Arabidopsis thaliana: one gene and its partner. The protein of the gene in region 2 interacts with the protein of the main gene of each other region in a pairwise test. Each region holds a gene or a part of one and is shown on either strand. Other genes may lie near its edges.

What was found.
Region 1: the proteins of CRK11 (region 2) and AT5G14020 interact in a protein complementation assay, tested with the Arabidopsis thaliana proteins (one large-scale study listed by BioGRID).

Annotation. Positions count from the first base shown.
Region 1 is NC_003076.8:4,522,867-4,528,128, reverse strand, and holds AT5G14020 (Endosomal targeting BRO1-like domain-containing protein), read left to right. Parts: upstream 1-1,961; 5' UTR 1,962-2,309; coding exon 2,310-2,514; intron 2,515-2,589; coding exon 2,590-2,664; intron 2,665-2,742; coding exon 2,743-2,804; intron 2,805-2,903; coding exon 2,904-3,054; intron 3,055-3,135; coding exon 3,136-3,232; intron 3,233-3,307; coding exon 3,308-3,374; intron 3,375-3,467; coding exon 3,468-3,566; intron 3,567-3,689; coding exon 3,690-3,782; coding exon of another isoform or gene 3,783-3,812; exon of another isoform or gene 3,813-3,892; coding exon 3,893-4,047; coding exon of another isoform or gene 4,048-4,090; exon of another isoform or gene 4,091-4,115; coding exon 4,116-4,220; intron 4,221-4,302; coding exon 4,303-4,399; 3' UTR 4,400-4,708; downstream 4,709-5,262. Other genes in the region: AT5G14030 (translocon-associated protein beta (TRAPB) family protein), read right to left, coding at 88-93, 230-301, 470-578, 663-761, 1,070-1,251.
Region 2 is NC_003075.7:12,140,352-12,145,713, forward strand, and holds CRK11 (cysteine-rich RLK (RECEPTOR-like protein kinase) 11), read right to left. Parts: upstream 3,483-5,362; 5' UTR 3,360-3,482; coding exon 2,516-3,359; intron 2,434-2,515; coding exon 2,302-2,433; intron 2,195-2,301; coding exon 2,073-2,194; intron 1,985-2,072; coding exon 1,774-1,984; intron 1,695-1,773; coding exon 1,457-1,694; intron 1,383-1,456; coding exon 1,223-1,382; coding exon of another isoform or gene 1,181-1,222; exon of another isoform or gene 1,143-1,180; coding exon 846-1,142; 3' UTR 548-845; downstream 1-547. Other genes in the region: CRK10 (cysteine-rich RLK (RECEPTOR-like protein kinase) 10), read left to right, coding at 1-35, 112-429; CRK12 (cysteine-rich RLK (RECEPTOR-like protein kinase) 12), read right to left, coding at 5,029-5,349.

The DNA of each region.
Region 1 (5,262 bases), on a different chromosome or scaffold from region 2:
ACAATTGAAACACGGTAATATGAGAAACTGATATATATTTGATGATTTCACTGGGAAGTGAGAATTACACATCGGTCATTGAGTTACCTTGGCCTGAGATTATTTTGGCAGCATCAAGAGCAACATCCAAGACACAACAGAAGATAGCAATGAAAGTCAATATTGAGAAGAAAAGAAAAAAACTCTGACTAGATGATTGAAAGAATAGTCCTTAGAAGGTCAAATTTACCACGTCCAAAGGTTTCGTTGGAGGTTTGTCTGCGAGGATATCTAGAGGTAGTAGTGGAGTTGAGTATGCTTCCTACAAACAATAAAACCATAATACACGATTACATCACAAAACCAAATATTTAGTAAAATAACGGCCACAACAACAGAAAGTAATTCTGATTAGAAAGATTAATTGGGGAGGTTTATTGCTTCAACCAGTTCCAAGAACTAGAATGAAGGGAGCTTAAAAATGGCAAACCTGAAGAGCTGGCTTAGTGGGGATGCGGAAAGTAACGACAGCAGGAGCACCGTAGAAGACTCCTTTAACCTTGGCCTCCAATTCGATAGAATGAGACAGAATACCTCCTCTGCACAGCAAATATTAGATTAGTGACGAGAGTAAAAGCTAAAGCAGGCCAATATAAGATTTTATGATTGAGGAAGAAACTCACGCATCAAGTCTTTCCCATGATTTTGAAGTGTTTCCATTAACAACTTCAAAAGTCTTTTTATCCCAGCTATTATCTGTCAGAGTCACATCATACGCCGACCTGAGAGCAAACACCACAAATATCTGACGCTTTTAGCTGACATTCATTAAAAATCTCAAAGTCATCGTAGCCGGCAGATACAAAATTCACAAACCAAATCCAAAATTCCGATAAACAATGAGATCAGATCAAATGGCGTTTCGTTTAACTGATACGCATACGGTAGATCTAATGATAGCTCAAGCATAATCTCCTAATTCTACATTGACCAATCTCTCCATGCAATCAGAAATTAACACGGATCGGAAATGAAAATGGAGAAATCAAACGGATTCGGGAAATAACTAGATGAAGGATAGAGAACTAACGAGGATCCTTGGTTATAGATGTCGTAGGAAACGGAGACGCGTTCGGCGCCAGATTTGAGCCTGTTGAGAGTGGCTTTCTTGTGAACCACCATGAACGGCACTTCCGAGGTCGCGAACGAAGCAGAAACAAGCATGAAAACCGCCATGGCGGAGATCAGAAGCTTAGCTACAGCGACGGCCATGGTTTGCGATCTACGACGATGTAGGTGTTTAAGCAGATGCGGAAATAGATCTACGAATGTTTTCTTCAGCTCAAGAAACCTCCGACGACGATATTAATCACCACCACCACCACCCATTAACAAAAAAAGTCAATGATGGGCCCAATTGTTTTTCACCTGATAATGGGCCTACTTATAAAAGCCCATTCTAATAATAAAGTGTATTAATATACCGTCCAAATTAAAGAAGGGAAGTGTGTTTGCACTTGCAGTAGAACAATGAAGATAACACAGCCTGTCTCCTGCCACAATCTAACATGTTTCTTTTCCCACACCACATTTCGATTGGATCCAAATATTCTCTAATACTTTTATAATCATAGATGACTTTGTCTATTAATTATCTCGTCTAATTATAAAGTCTACTTAAGATGTAATAGCCAACGATTCATATCATTCAAAAGACATATTGACTCGAATCAATGGAGGTTTTGTTACCATAATCTCATTTTCATTTCTAACAATCTTTTGGTTGGAGTAAGAAAAGAGGGTAAAAACTGATAAAGTTGATTTGATTCAATTAATCAAGGTGGCGGGAAAGTTAAGGAAAGAAGTCAACGAGGAAGGAAGTACTAAAACTAAAACAGGAGAGCCAATAAAAAGTAGGCAAGTGGGTGGGGACATAGAATAAGAATTCACAGCTACCCGTAAGAAACATAATTAAAACTTGGATTAAACCGAAAGGCATGTGATTTTCCTTTGTTGGTTAACTAAATCACGTATATCTATCGTTGAATATAAGAGCATGTGGAGGGATTTGCATCGAACTCTGAAACCTGAGTAAATCTTCTCTTCCCATCATCACATGCTTACTTATCTCTTCTGGTTAGCTCTCTGAGATTCTCTCTTCCAGATTGTTCTTTTTATATTTTACTTAGAGCTTCAAAATTAATCCGGATCTATCTGCTTCAGGTTGTTCCAAAACATCCTTATTTTGACATATATATATGTCAATGTTGTGTAGGATGATTTTGTGAGCAAAAGATCATAGCAGAGAGAGAGAGAGAGAGAAAGAGAGCATGGGGTGTGCTCAATCTACTATTGCTGTTGTGGGAAGGAAGAACAAGAAGAGGATCATTCAAGAATCTGTAGTGTTTGTTCTACAGTTCCGTGTTCCTGTTCAGTCTGATCTTCAGCGCCAACTCAAAGGTGTTTCTCCCAAGACAACCATCAATCGGTTGACATGTTTAAGAAATCAGATTGAGTTGGTAGCTGAGGACACAGGTATAGAGAAATTAGACCAACTTCTTCCTCTTTTCTTGCGTGTCAAGACATAAGGTTCCATCTTTTCTACTGCAGGGGGTTCAGCCATCTCTGAGTTGCGTACAGCTTTGGAGGAGTACTTGTCACTTCTATCCGGTCTTATCAAGAAAAGTTCGTGTTTGCAAGTTTTGATTAACTTAAACAGTTTAGTATATTCAAATGGTGATATTAGAATATTTAACTCTACAGGTAAAGATGGAATGGAGGGCTGCGTAGAGCTCAAATGGAGGACCCTTGGCGATGGTCGACGAGTAAGTTCGGTTTTTGCTTAAATTAAGCTGATCCTAAGGATATTCATTTTGTTTGTTCTAGTATCATTAAAATCTTAACAATGTGAAGGGTGTATACAGGCAGAGATATGTTGCACAAACCTTTGGATGGAGATGTTGATAGTGATCCACATGATGGCTGCTTTGGCATTGACTGAAGCTAACTCTCTCATGATTCCAAAGGATTGCTATGCTTCTGGTTCTGGCAATGGCGTCCGTGTGGTCTCCACTGGTGTGGCCTCGTTGACTTTCACACTTTTATTTTAATTTATTGTGTTTACAAAAAACTAATTAACCTGTCACTTTCAAACAGATTGCAGGAGAGATGCGGTTGACTTGCTGCTCAAGGCATCTGGATACTTGGAGTTCTGCGTCCGAGAGATTCTGACTCAACTTCCTCATGATATAAAGTATGAAGCACAAATACATAAATTCTAGGATCACATTAATACTTACATATCTGAAAATTTGCTATATGTATGCAGGAGTAAGTTGCCAGATGATATGCAGGAAAGTGTATTACAAACTCTCTCTATACAAGCACTAGGCCAGGTTACACACATGCTTACTTTGAAACTGTGACTCCTAAACCTGAATCTTGTATATATGTTTTCAATTTGTAAGTTTGGTTGAATCTCACTGCAGGGAACTGAGATTCAACTTGGATTAGCAGTTGATAGTCAGAAAGCAACATTGTCTGTGAAGAGGAGAATTGCATGTGAGCAAGTCATCTACTTCACTCAGGTCCTCCTCATAGTTTAACAATCTTCAGCTTCTTATAACTGTGGCATGCTTTCGGGGCAATCATATGTCTTTTCTCTGTTTTAATTATTAATTTGCTATAAAATGATCTCATTATCATTTCAGGCATATCACTGCTTGTCTAGTTGTGAAGCAGTTAGCCATGGATGCGCCAAGAAACTTCTCCGGTTTATCTACTGGAAGTTTCTGGAAGCAAAGGTATTGTATGTGTATGTAAGCTATTGTTGAGAGTGATCCGATATATATTCATCTCTATTGTTCTTTCATAAAATATATCTCTCTATTATGTTCTGCTTTTTTCTTAACAGGCTGCAGCATACTACTACCATGGACTGGTAACAGACAAGGGAAGTGAGCCGGCTTGTCACTTGAGCGCTGTGTGTTGTTTCCTTGCAGCTGCAGAGATCCTAGGAGAAAGCAAAAAAGCCTGTCTTAGCTTCTGCTTAGCTCCTCCTGTCACAAGGTTTGTGTTGTTGTATGATATCCTACATGTGAATTATGAATGATTCAGAATTATTTTGTATCTATCAGGGCTCCTCCTATGTGGGGTGTTATGAAGCATTTGAGCCAGAAGATTCCAGAAGTTGCTTTTAGAAAGTCGCAGACATATGGATACTTGCTTGAAGAAGAAGAAAAGTAAGTCGTTAAGAGTGTTTTCTTTTTTTGCGTTTGTTTTAACGAATCAAACAAGATAGGTGATGATATGATAAAACCACAGGGCAATGCAGTGTTTGCCAGAGCTTCCAGACTTTCAGTTGTCATTGAGACCCGACGACTTTGAACTGCCTGAAATAGAGGATGTCTCTTCCTCATGAAACCAAACCCATTTGCTTAGAGAACATCTTGAGTTCTTGACTACTAGCTACTCATGTTGATGATGATGACCTTGATCGTTGAGAAAGAAGCACTCTCTCTACACATATTCTTTGGGTATTTTACCACTTATAATTGTAATGTAATATTTTGTATTCTTGTCAGACAAAATCTGATACTTGAGTATAGAGTAATGTAATATCTGGGTGATTACTTATCTTCCTTGATAAAGAATTTGGAAGGACTAGAAGAGAAAGAAAAAAAACAGCTGCTAATTAATAAAGGAAGCGTTTAGCTATGTTGGAGAAGAAATGTTGTTGTGTGAGGAGCTAAAAAACGGCCCGCATTTTAAATTGGAAACAGCAGGATAACCGCAACGTCACGTGAGTTAGTCACGTGTAAGTGATGATGACATGTTCGATTCCACACGTACAATAAAAGAAGTGGTTGTTGTGTGAGGCGCTTGGAAACGGCACGCAGTTTAGTAGTCTTAATTTGGAAAAAAGCGGAAAAAGCAGAATAACAATAACGTCACGTGTGGGATGATGATGAGATGTTGGATTCCGCACGTACCAACTTTGTAGAGGCGGTAAGGGATTTTGACGGCGGTAGTGCTAATGATCTCCGACACAGACATGATCGGATTTTTTAATCTCCCAATTAAGGTGACGGCGATGAATGATAAAACGCAAAAACATTCCGATTATCACTCGTAACGGTGATGATCGTTAATTCATCAAAATCTGCTGTTTTTTTTGTTCTTCCAAAAATGCATCATCCATGAAAGATAAAAGTATCATCAGAAACTTAAAATCGAAACGATCATCATCATCGTCATAAGTAATATCCAAAAAAGGTAGCAGCT
Region 2 (5,362 bases):
ACCAAACAGATGGTGCACATGACTTGGTCTCATATGTAAGTTTTAAACCTATCAAGTTCCATATTTACCTGAACATAGTTGCAAGTGTTGATTGATTGAATAATATTCTAGGCTTGGGGGCTTTGGAGTAACGGGCGACCATTAGAACTCGTGGATCCAGCTATTGTAGAAAATTGCCAAAGGAATGAAGTTGTTCGATGTGTCCATATCGGTCTTTTATGTGTTCAAGAAGATCCTGCTGAGCGTCCGACGTTGTCAACCATTGTTCTGATGCTCACTAGTAACACTGTGACTTTACCCGTGCCACGGCAACCCGGTCTTTTCTTTCAGAGTAGAATTGGAAAAGACCCGCTTGATACAGATACAACGAGCAAATCTCTTCTAGGGTCTGTTGACGATGCATCCATCACAGATATACATCCTCGATGATGATGAGTTTTTCCCTTCATACCTGATTCCTGAATCTATTGGTGTTGAAAATAAGTTAAAAACTTCTTTTGTTATAGAATGTTTGTATTGTAATTGTAACCACAAGCAAGTATAAGATATATACCATTTACACGTTTCTCCATGAAGACGTAACAGTGACTTTTCCCTCCAAATTAAGCTTACACAACGATCTAGCAGGTAATTTGATTCAGCATGAAGAGAGTAAAACCAGTAATCGAGAAACGATTCTTAAAGAACTGTGAACTGTTCATAAGCATTTTACAGTGGACACTGTACAACATACAATTACAGATAAACCTGCTATGTTTCTTATGTCCGTGGACAAATAATATAAATGTCATCTGACCATTTTTCTGTTACAACTTTTAAGCTATGATGAGGAACCACATCAATTTTTACGAACTAAATGAGGAAGACTTGCTTGTATACTGATCAGACTCTGATCCTTCAGATACCAGTTTCAGTTGCCTGCTTCGTGGGAAAAATCCCGGTAGGCGAGGCACTGGTAGAGTAATTGTGTTACTAGTCAGCATTAAGATGATTGTTGATAACATTGGACGGTCTTCTGGATTTTCTTGAACACATAACAGCGCGATATGGATGCACCTAGTGACTTCATTACTCTGATAATTCCTTCCAAAAGTTGGATCCACCAGCTCTAATGGTGACTTGTTTCTCCAAAGCCTCGAAGCCTAATACAATGAACAATTAAGTACCTTGGTCATATGTTTTAAAATGTTAAATTGTTGAAAGTTGAGGACTTTATGCTCACATAAGTGACCAAGTTTCCTGCAGTACTAGTTTCATCCATCTGGTAGACGCCGCTGTTTTTCTTGCCGCTTATAATCTCAAGAACTAAGACTCCAAAGCTATAAATGTCAGATTTCATGGAGTATTGACCATGCATCGCATACTCGGGAGACATGTAAGCGCTGAAAAACATACAACACGGGTTAATATGCAATAGAAAATGGTTTAGTGTTCAGCTACTACGAGCAGAACTTACTAGGTTCCAGCAATTCTGTTCGTGTTTCCTTGAGTTTGCTCCACTCCAAAAATAGTTGCCAATCCAAAATCTGCAATTTTTGGGTTCATGTCTGCATCTAAGAGAATGTTGCTGGCTTTGAGGTCACGATGTATGATTTTGAGCCGTGAATCTTGATGAAGATATAGAATCCCTCGAGCAATTCCTCCAATGATCTTGTATCGCCGGGTCCAGTCTAGCTGACTTTGCTTTTCCGGGTCTGCACATATCGACAATCAATCAGTATAAAGCTGAAGCAGGATCCTTTGAATAAGAAAAATTATTGACAGGAACCATACCGAAAAGAAAGTAGTCAAGGCTTTTGTTGTGGACAAATTCATAGATCAGAATCTGTTCCTCTCTTTCCAAACAGAATCCAAGAAGTCTAACCAGATTCCTATGTTGAAGTTTTGTCACAAGAACAGCCTCGTTCCTGAACTCCCTTGTGCCTTGTCCTGACTTTTTCGACAGTCGCTTCACAGCTACATCAGTTCCGTTAGAAAGCTTACCCTACGTACAATGAATGAAACAAACATTGTTGGTTATTTCCATAAACCAATATGAACTTAGAAAAAATGGAAAACAGAGACCTTGTTACCTTGTAAACCGCACCGAATCCACCTTCACCAAGCTTATTACTTGTTGAAAACTTGTTAGTTGCGGCTTCAATTGTCTTAAAATCGTATACCAATGAATCTGTAGTTGAAATATCACTTTCAGCTGCAAAGAATGGGTGTATTAGTTTCGTGTTTCCCGTCTTGGCTACGGGAGTATACATGCTGATAACGAAAGGAAACAATAAAGAGGTAAAACACAAAGAAACTAACATTCAGTCTTAGTTCTTTGGTAGGATTTTCTTCTCCGGAAAAGAACAAATCCTAAAACCAGCAGTATCAAGATGGCAATAACAGTGGGAACGGTGATCGCCACAACAACTCCAGCTGAGATTCCTTTGCTATCTTCTCACAACACATAGAAAAACAATGTCATATATTTAAGTTTTTTTGTTACAATGATAGTTTTCTCAGGTGGAAGACTAACCATTGTTGGTCGGGTTGTCCTGATCACCTGCAGGTTGTGGCACAGTCACAGGAGGTTCTGGAGGAGGAGAAGCCACCGTAAGATTATCAAAAGCGTTAGAATATGTATACAAATCCCACCGCAAAAAGCAGCTTGGCCGCATAACAACACCTCCTCGCTTCTGGCTACAGCACGACTGATAGTCAATTGCGCTTTGTCGCAGACAGTTTTCACAATCACCGGAGGAAAGATCCGGCGTGCATTGCATCAATGCATATATATTCAGGAGAGGTGTCAAGACTGCTGAATCAGCTGAGTAATGGTTATCACTTGAAGAAGGTGTGCTTTTTGCTGTGGAAGCTGCAGAAATCATACGACCCATTAATCCTTCCCATATTTTCGTAAACTCTGTTAGATTTGAGTCTAGGTCTCCAGTGTTGGTGAGCCAATTTCGCGGGTTCAGATCAGCAGATCCTGAGAAAGAAGTGTTGGAGTAGCGCACATAGCAAAGCGTTGGCTCACCTGGCCATGAATACGCCTCTGTTTGGTTAGGACAATTCTTTAAAAAAAATTCAGACTCTTTCTTGATACAATCAGAACAGTCTTCTGAAGTTGATCCTGGGATGCACATCCCTATTGCGTAGACACGGTTCGGTTGTTGTCCTATGGAACCGTTGTAGTATAAGCCGTCTTGGTCCGTGACATTTGAAGGAAGAGAAGAGAGGATGAGACGGCGATTTACGTCGTAAGTACCGTTGGGTCTGAAAGTCCCCTTGTCCGTCGTGCATGTTTGTGCTGAAACTGAAGCAACACCAAAACTTATGAAGAAAAAACAGAGGACTGAAAACAAACTCCTCTGCTTCATTGTTTCTTGAAGATTAAAGCAAAAGCTAGATCTTTGTGTTTAGTGTTTGACGCATCTGTACGTTTCTTACCAGTTTAAACAAGCAAAATCGAAGCTTCTCTCCAAAATTTTCAAATATTGAATTCGTCAAATTGATGACAGTGGTCCTGAAACCTACAAATATGGTCACGAAAACGAGTGTCAAAAGTCAAAGTCAATGTCAAAAGCTAAAAGTCAATAATATTTTCTTTGTTCACATTATATAATAAGGGGGTTGTTGAATATTGATTGGAATGTTGACTCAGATAATGACATAAAGGATAAAGTATTCATAGAATCAAACCCAGTGACGCAGAGGCAGATGGAGAGGAACAAGAAAAGTATTGGGCTAAAGTGTCAGTGTCATTAATTTCACAAATAAACCGGCTTTTGTCATAGGCTGCTCAGCACATTCCCAGACTATACATATACATTTGGCAATCAAAGCATTGTAAAAGCCTAAAAGAAAAAAACAGAAGATTAGCATACCTTTTTTCGTTGTGTTCTGTTCGTCTCAATTTATAGCCTAATCAGTGTCTCTTGGGTTGAGTCATGTAAGAATGCGTACATATGAATCACGCCGAAACCAGAAGAACATGTCGTAATTGGCTGAAACAGAGTAGCAACGAACCACTAGTGTGAGTAACAACAGCAACAATTGAGTCCAAATAGAATGCAAAATATTTCATAACAAAGGGCTGATATTACAGTGTAGACATTGATAGAGTTTGTTTATAACTTCGAGCCAGTCTACAAACAGATAAAACACCTAAACATGGCTTCTGACTGTTTCAATTATCTTCAACGAGGTTCCAGATCTGTAATGGTTACATCATTGATAGTTTGGGAAGTGGGCCTGTTTGCAGACTGGCTCGACCTCCAAAGCTGGCTGTACATAATTTAATCATCAAATCATGAACACACATATTTACCAAAGCTTATAAATAAGGACACAACAGATTAGTGATAGAGGTCTATCAAATTGATGCAGTATTATCCCATGTTTGCTCTCTTACCCCAAATAAGCATCGGAGACGGATTACATTTCCCACCGGAAAACGCAGTTGGCCCGGAGCCCTTAGCTAAATCGTGATTATGCCATTAAACACATCAAAATCTAACAAAAGAGCACAAACAAATCCGATAATCAATATCATTAAACGCCATTAGAACCAGAATGCTAAACCCTAAATCCGAGCTCAGAAGAATGCGCAAAGGCTGATTCCGACGAAGAGAGTGAAGAAGAAAAGTCGGTAATAGCGTTTGGTTTCCGGTTCATATGGTATAGGTTTAGTAAATAAACCGGTTTGGGTAAATATTCGTAGAAATTCGTCTACCGGTAAAGCCAAACCGAATCCGTCTAATTTACAGAGCTTTTTTACATGCATAACAACATTTGCGTTACTACTATACATGAATTGGTATGTTTATAAAATTTTGAAGCCATTCGTATCAGAAATCTTCAATACAACAAACCAATGTTACAATGTAGAAATGATAAAGAGTTTGTATGAAAAATAACTTTGAGTGACTCACAAATCTTACATAACTATGGATCATCACATTTCATTTTCAAGTGAAATAATACCTCACATGTGGAATCTGCGTTGTTTTCAGTAACAATTCCAATTTGTCAATTGGAACAGCAACTTCAACGAGGATCTAGATTTGTAATGGTTACATCATTTTTAGTCTGAGAAGTACATCCCATTGTAAATTGGCTCGACAAAAAGCTATCACGTTCTTTGTTTTGCGGAACAAAGAATCCAGGTGGTTGAGGAACAGATAAAATGAGGGAACTGTTAGTGAGCATCATCATGATTGTTGACAAGTTGGGACGATCTTTAGGATCTTCTTGAACACATAGGAGTGCGATGTGGATGCATCTTATAACTTCTTCTGTTTGACAATTCTCTGATATGGTTAGATCCACGAGCTCTAATGGTGATCCGTTTGTCCACAACCTCCAAACCTGTACAACAATG